2 linked regions of the Pelodiscus sinensis genome follow. The protein of the gene in region 1 interacts with the protein of each later gene in a biochemical or structural test. Links are inferred from orthologs where the notes say so. Each region holds a gene or a part of one and is shown in the gene's direction. Other genes may lie near its edges.

Region 1 (3,748 bases):
ACTTTTAAAAAAAGTCTTGAGACATTTGAAGAACAAAAGCAGAGATACCCCTTGATAAACAACACTGGGATTATGTAAACACATGCACTGTAAGTAACTGGGGAGTAAAGAGGTTCAGTCACATAAAATGCTTGAGGGGGAAGACAATACTTTTTCTCGCTCAGCTATTTGACATGGGAAGTAAAATCCTGTTACTGTTTGTGGTATTAGCAAATACACATGAAACTACCAGGGTTCAGAAATGGGCCAAATTCCACAACATGAATTTTGAGTAGTAGGTGGTGGTTACATTCTAGAGGTGGGGGAGGAGAGTTAATAACACTTTCTTTTCTAACAGGCTCCTGCAGAACTGCCAGCTGAGGATCCACAAGCAAAATGCTCAAAAGAACAAACTTAAGACCAGCCTATGGGTTGTCACATCACAGGTCCATCTAGCCCCGTGTCTTCTCTTCCAACAATGGCCCATGTCAGATGCCCCCGAGTTAAGGAACAGAACAGGGAATTACCAAGTATCCCTCTGCTCTCACCCATTCCCATTCTGAGAGACAGAGGCTGCAGGCACCATTGCTGCCCATCCTTGGGCTTGGTCCTGCCTGGAGCAGGGGGCTGGACTTGACCTTCTGAGGTCTCTGGGCCTAGCTAACAGCCACTGATGGACCTGACCTCGAGCACTGAGGTCACCTTCCTGCCCTGGAGTCTGTCAGCTCTTTCCCCAGCCCTGTTAAAGTCCTGGTCTTCACAACATCCTCCGGCGAGGAGTTCCACAGGTTGGCTGTGCCGGTTTTCAACCTGCTGTCTGCCAGGGTCGTTCCACGTCCTACCACTGACCGGCCCTTTCGCAGCTCCCGGTGTCTGGGGCTCCCGCTCCCCGGGGAAGGGGGGTTTGCCCAGCCCGCGCGGGGCGGGGCGGGGCGGGGCGGGGCGCGTTCGGGGCGGCGTCCCCTCTCCCCCACCCGGCCTCGTGCCTCTCCTCTCCTCAGACACAAACGGCTGCGGGGGGAGGCTCCGCCCCCGCTCTCCAGGCTCCACCCGTCGCCGCGAGCGGCGCGCTACGTCACTCCCCTCGCCGCCAATCCGCGCGCCGGGCGGCGGGACTCAAACCGGCTAACGGCCGCGGGGTGCGCGCGCGCGCGGACGAGGCGGCGGGTGAGTGCGGCCGCCCGGCCCTTGCTGCGGGGGAGGAAGGGGGGCGCCGTGCGCGCGAGGCTTTGGCGGGCTCCGGCCGCCCCCACGGCCGCGGGGTGCACCCCGTTCGGGCCCTGCCCGGCAGCCCCGTGGCGTCGGTGACCCCGCGAGCGGGGATCCGGGGGGGGGCCGGGAGCCGCCTCGCCCGGCCCGGGGATGCTGCGTGGCTGCGGGTCTGGCTTTGCGCTTGTTTTGTTTTTGTAACGAAGTACCCTTTAAAAAAAGCGGCAGCCCCGTAGCAGCGGAGCCGGGGGGGGGGGGTCTGCCATCGCAGCACGTTTGTTTAAACAACCGCATCTAGCGGGCGGGCGCTGAGCTGCTGGCTGTGAAAAGGGCAGAGATAATACAGCGCTGTCAGACCTCCCACAACACCCCGCTTTCTCCACACTTCAGTCGTGTTGATGCACCCCCCCCCCCACTTCTCTGAGTACCCCTAAGGGTGCTCGTACCACTGGCTGGGACACACTGGGTAGAGACTAGCAACCACCACAAAATAACACACTGTCCTGGGCAAAACCCACCTCCTCACAGGAGCTTATCTGAGGGGTGGGTTTTGCCCACGGAAGCGCATGGTACTGTGTATTTTTGTGAGTCCCTCAAGTGCCACAGGGCTACTCGTGGTGAACTAGTGACATCCCTTCTTCACACAGCCCCTGCGGATCCAGCTGATAAACGTAAGTCTGGTGCTGTGTTGGTGTGACCACTTCTGAAAATAATTAACTGGAAACAAGCAGGCAGGCAGCGTGTATGCAGCACAGATCGCAGCGTGAGGGAAGCTAACTTGGGAAATGTGGCACTCCTTATGAAAATACAAAGACAAGCTTCTTTTAACCCTGTTTTTCTTTTTAGATGAAATGCAGGCAAATAAAGTTGGCAGTCCATGGAATTCGTGCTTCTTCCTTTATTTAAAATACTGTACCTAAACATGCACGCTTCAATGGCTTTGCAGTAAGAGCACAAAACATTGGTGTCAACATTGGCAGAATGACTGCAGCACCTGTAAAAAATACACATATTTTAAAGTCTCCTATTTCTTCTGTTAGAAAAGGAGCTATGCCTTTGCAGGCAGTCTTTATGAGCAACATACCTTCAGGTACTATTACTCCTTTGAAAGAGTTGGTGAAATTTCAACATGCTGGTATTACTACCTCTGCAACAAAAGAAACTATGCTCCCTTCAGGTTTGTGTGACTTCAAGGAAAACTCTGCAAGAGGAACAGGAACTTTCAAGAAAAGGGAAGGTATTTTTCAGTCCACATTAATAACAGAGGACACTTATGCTAAAGAATTTCTTGACCTCAGTGAAATAAGGCCAGTGTCTGACACTGTAGCAATGCAAGTTGCGTCTTGCCCTCAGCAACAGATCTTGCCACTAAAAGACAAAAATGTACTGAAACGCAAAGCTTGTGATCCTTTAACTCGTGAATCTCCAGCAAAAATCTTCCAAAGAATGAAAGCTAAGGTATCTCATGAAAAGCAGCATCCAGTGCCCTATAAGGGAAAACTGTTAGAGACAAATGTCAACAGTGATTTGATCCTGACTCCTGCTACAAATCCTGCCCATCAGGGAAGATGGGATAAAAAAGTCAGTGATGAAGACAACCACCAAAGAGATGTCAAGCTACCTGATAAACAGATCCAGCTAAGAAAAGGTTTGTTGCATTATGTTGCCAAGATGCCTGGTTAAATTACGTCCTCCAGTAAAATGTGGGTTTTATTATGCTTAGGTTATAGCTGCATGTGGATTTACTGGAAGTTGTTTTCCAGATCCTGTTAGCCAAGATAAGGAATGTTTGTGCTCCTTCCTTCTACTTCCAGCTATCCTCCCTTAAACATAAAGAAATATAGCCAAATCTATAAGCAATGTTGTAAACTCCTGGTAATTAAATTTTTTCCTCCACCTTCTTCATATAATTTTTCTACACTATATTCTCTACTTTTCTCCTCTGTTTTTACTGTTTTTCAGCCCATGAAATGGCCTATAACCATACTTATTGCATAGCTTCCTCTCTCCAGCTAATCTAACACGTATAGGTCTTGAATGTTTTATGATACTCTTAAGAGCCAGAGGATTAAACCTACTCCCCAAAGACCAAAATCTATTATCCAAAGACCAGTGCAAAAGATGGAGCACATACACCTGCCATTTCTGCTAATAGCTATCAGCGGAAGAGGCATGATCTTAGATACCATCTTTAAAATGTGTTTTTATTTGGACCTTTAGTGATGAGGCCATTCTTTTTTCTTTTCTCTGCTTTTGGCTACATGGTGTTACATAAATTTAAAGTCCTGTGCTCCCTTCCCAAAAGCCCATGTTAACTGTTGGAATTGATGAGCAGTAGTTTCTTCTCTGTTTCCCATCTTAGAATCATTTGGTTGCTGCAAGGAGAATGGTGATATGTGATCTGTAGCACTGTATTACAGTGATTGTGTGTCTGAGTGAAAGGATGGATCAAGCTTCAGGATGCAACTGGTACACACAGTCATGGATTTCTATTCCATCAGGTGTGCTATGCTTTTGTAAGGTTTTAGAACTGGGAGTATGCTGCTGTGGGAGCATACAC
Region 2 (3,748 bases), on another chromosome or scaffold:
GAAGGGATATTGGTGCACGGGATGAGAATTAACAATTTGAGGTTCACGGATGTTATAGTTATCGAGGAAGATGAAGAGAAACTAGTGAGAACAGTGCAAGTGCTAAATGAGGAAGGGAAGCGGTATGGACTGATTATGAATATTGATAAAACAAAGACAATGGTATTTGGAGATAAAGAAATAGGAAGGAAGATCAGTGTAGATGGGATCAAACTAGAGAATGTAGAGAAGTTCAAATATTTGGGGAGCAATATTACATATGATCTAGACTGTAAGAAGGAAATAGTGACTAGAGTAGCGAAAGCAAGAGCGAGTTTGAAGTTGATGGATAAGATCTGGAAAAGTAAAGCGATTAGCTTAGGAATGGAATTGAGCATCTTGAAAATGTGTGTATTTAGCAGCATGTTTAGGGATGTGAGACATGGGTGATAATGAAAGATTCAAAGAGAAGGATATTGACGTTCAAGAGGAGTTATAGAAAGATACTGAGAATATGATGGATGCAGAAGGTCACCAACGAGGAATTATATAGGAAGATACAGCCAAAAAAAAAACCTACTGCAGAAGGTTATACAATGGAAGTTACAGCTATTTGGGCATATCTGCAGAATGAACAATGAGTGAAAAGTTAAGACCCTGGTATTCGGCATAACGGACAGTCCAGTTTGGAGAGGCAGACTGCACAGAGAATGGGTGGGGAGCTAGTCTACAGAAACTAAGTGACTCAGCAGTGGAGGCATCAGACACCAACGGGCGTTGAGCCCATGGTGGTTGTTGATGATGATGATGGTGAATGTCTTCCTGCCCAATCTGGCGGGGTGGCCATGCGCGGCATGGTCAGCTGGGCGATAGATCTCTTTGGCTCTTGAAGTGGCAGGATTGCCCTAGCGCAGGTGGGGCACAGTCTCCGTAAACTGGTTCCAGAAATCAGCCTAGACTGGAAAACAGGCTGGCAGGGCAACAGCAGCCTCCCCTCCCCTCCCCTCGCCTCCCACCCGCCAGTGCCGGGCCGGGCCGGGCCACTGCCGCAAGGGGCGCGCGGGGCGCAGTCACCTGGGCAAACGCGCCACAGGCCCTATATGACACGCGGCACCCAGGAGAACTTAGCCCCGCCCCCACCACTGCCGGAAAGGGGCGGGGCTCTTCTCCGTCCCCGCCCTGCTCAGACAAGGGAAGGGGGCGGGGCTTCGCCGGCAGGGGTTCCTCTTTGTCCCTGCCCCTCTGCGCTCCGCTCGTGCGCGCCGCTTCCGCTTCCGGGCGGCGGGCGGTTTGAAGGTGGGGGATGGCGGGCGCGCAATACGTGCCGCCGGGCGCGGGGCTGGAGGCGTCGCTGTCGCTGCTGGAGGCGGAGAGCAGCCGGGGCACGGCGGCCCCCGACGAGCCGGAGGAGCTGCCCATGGTGTTCCTGTGCGCCGGCTGCAAGCGGCCCGTGGGGGACACGCTGGGCTGGGTGGCCAACGAGGAGGAGACCGGCTGCGTCCTGCTGCGCAGTGAGTCCCCGCGCGCGCGAGGCTGGCGGGGGAAGCGAATCTCTGCCGGCCCCCGCCGGCTCCGAGCCCGTTCCTTCCGCTCCGCCCGCCCGCGGCCGTTAGTGACGGTTGGTCCCGCCTGTCTCTTGCAGGCGCCTCCCCCAACGTGTCGGTAGAGAAGGAGCAGAAGCTCTCCAGCCGGCCCGGCGAGTGCGGATGGTGAGTGGGCAGGGCCGAGGGGCCTGGCAGCCGGGACATCCAGGGTCGCGGGCACCGCTGAATGACGACCGGGGCGTGCCCGAAGTATCCCAGCCCCCTACCGCTGGCCTCCCCCACTGCTGGAAGGGGAGAGCAGCCGGGGCACGGCGGCCGCGAGACGGGAGAAGCAGGAGGCGTTGCCCATGGCGTAGCTATATCAACACTAGGGATGTTAAAAAGCGGGTAACTGGGTGAAAACCTTCAAAGCAGCTCCACGCACCTGCAGCCTGCATTGGCTCCCGGCTCCTGACATGTACTGGCTCCCTGCTCCTAAGGAGCTGGCTGCCACCCTGCAGTGTAAGCCCTGATACAGAGGCCATGGTGCAGGATGGCAGCTGACTCCCCAAGAGTGGGGCAGGAACCTGCATGTAACCGTTCCCGTACCGATAACACCAGAGTGATCAGTTAACTGTTTAAATGGTTATTCTGTTACATCCTTAGTCAGCACTTGATTCGTTAAGCAAAACAAAGCCAATTCCTCAGTACGCACATATCCCTTGGGTTGGTGCAGCCTGAATAGGCACAGTGGATACCAGCCACAGACTGAACCTTCTTGAGGTCTGGCTTTGAAACAGCGGGTAATGGTGCACCATGGGTGCTGCTATTGGTCATGCCACTGAAACGATGCTCCCAATCAGAAGGGTTTTATTATGTGACTTCAAATGTCTCCTGCACAAATCTTAAATGGTGAATGAAAATGGAAGAAAACTTATTCAGTTCATAATCATAAAACCCCAAATAGGATAAGGATCTTTTAGTTACTGCTTGGGAGGGAGTTACCAAAAATTTCAATCCAAATACTAGTTTGGAAGTCAATTTTATCTAGTATAGGCTAAAGTATTCTGCTGTATAGCTGAGTAATTTACCTTGCTAAGATCATGCATAGGGTTCAAGGGTTATATATTTGGAATGAGTAAAACAAATGAGGAATCCTGTGGCACCTTAAAGGCTAACTGATTTATTGGGGCAAACCACTTTGTCAAATGCATGGTAAAATGTGTGTGTGCTGATGCATTGGCCTTGTTGGCTTAAAGCCTGAAGTTCAGGTGTTGATATAGCTGCCATATTTGAAACATTTTTCATTATGCTGCAGTTGCAGACTAACATGACTATACTGATTCATAGAATGAAATGAAACAGATATACATGAATATGTGTAATTTTTTGCATTACATAACCACATTTCACTCTTTTTTCCTAATGTGATTTACTGACACAGTGGTAGTGGATACTCTCTTCGAAGTAAGATTAGAAGTGAATGAATTGGAATCAATTTAAATCATCTTTCTAAACAAGTGGTTATATATTTGCTTATAGCATGATTGAAACTTTGTTCTGCTCTGGCTGTTCAATGACCCTTGGGAACATCTACAGATGCACCCCAAAACATCTTGACTATAAGCGAGATTTATTTTGCTTCAGTGTTGACTCAATTGACAGGTAAGGATGAGACCAAATGATTCAAGTTGTCAAATATGCTAATTGATTTTTGCCTTTTAGATTAAATGCCAGGTAGTTTGGGTTCATTACTTAACACTTTTAGCAATCAGATATTTATTATTAAGCTTGTATTAAGGTGAGTATGTGGGAGGGTATTTGGGAAAGGTTATGGATTACTCCTCTAATCTCCTTTTGTTCAAGAACAGTATTCTGTATTGTGGAGCAGGCAAAATATGGGCTGTCGCCAATGTCTTGATCCTTGAATAGGCACCGTGCCTGCTATACCCCCATGTGCCTTTCAAAGTGGCCAGCTGTTGGTGCTTGTACATCACAGCACCAAGGGCCCCATGTCGGGGCATGGAGGCTTCATTCACTGCCCGCACCTCAGCAGAGTCTTGTAGCTCCAATTGGCTAGAAATGTGTGAAGTTTCCCCTTCCCCAAGAGGTGTGTAATGCAGAGATGCCTACTTAAAGCTGCTGGCTACTTGGATCACATGCAAGTCTTGCTAGGCTGTTAGCTGGGAGTCACCTAGGGTAAGTGCCTCCTCGTTAGAACCTGCACCTGGCACCCTGTCCCCTTC

Evidence for each region. The genes of interacting proteins can lie anywhere in the genome.
Region 2: the proteins of MIS18BP1 (region 1) and MIS18A form a complex in vitro, tested with the Homo sapiens proteins (2 studies listed by BioGRID). The link is inferred for Pelodiscus sinensis from reciprocal best matches to the Homo sapiens genes MIS18BP1 and MIS18A.

Annotation. Positions count from the first base shown.
Region 1 is NC_134714.1:3,100,858-3,104,605, reverse strand, and holds the start of MIS18BP1 (mis18-binding protein 1), read left to right. Parts: upstream 1-1,031; 5' UTR 1,032-1,146; intron 1,147-1,702; exon of another isoform or gene 1,703-1,859; intron 1,860-2,034; 5' UTR 2,035-2,169; coding exon 2,170-2,836; intron 2,837-3,748. UniProt on the Homo sapiens protein: Required for recruitment of CENPA to centromeres and normal chromosome segregation during mitosis.
Region 2 is NC_134711.1:182,550,644-182,554,391, reverse strand, and holds the start of MIS18A (protein Mis18-alpha), read left to right. Parts: upstream 1-1,190; 5' UTR 1,191-1,282; coding exon 1,283-1,490; intron 1,491-1,621; coding exon 1,622-1,688; intron 1,689-3,044; coding exon 3,045-3,167; intron 3,168-3,748. UniProt on the Homo sapiens protein: Required for recruitment of CENPA to centromeres and normal chromosome segregation during mitosis.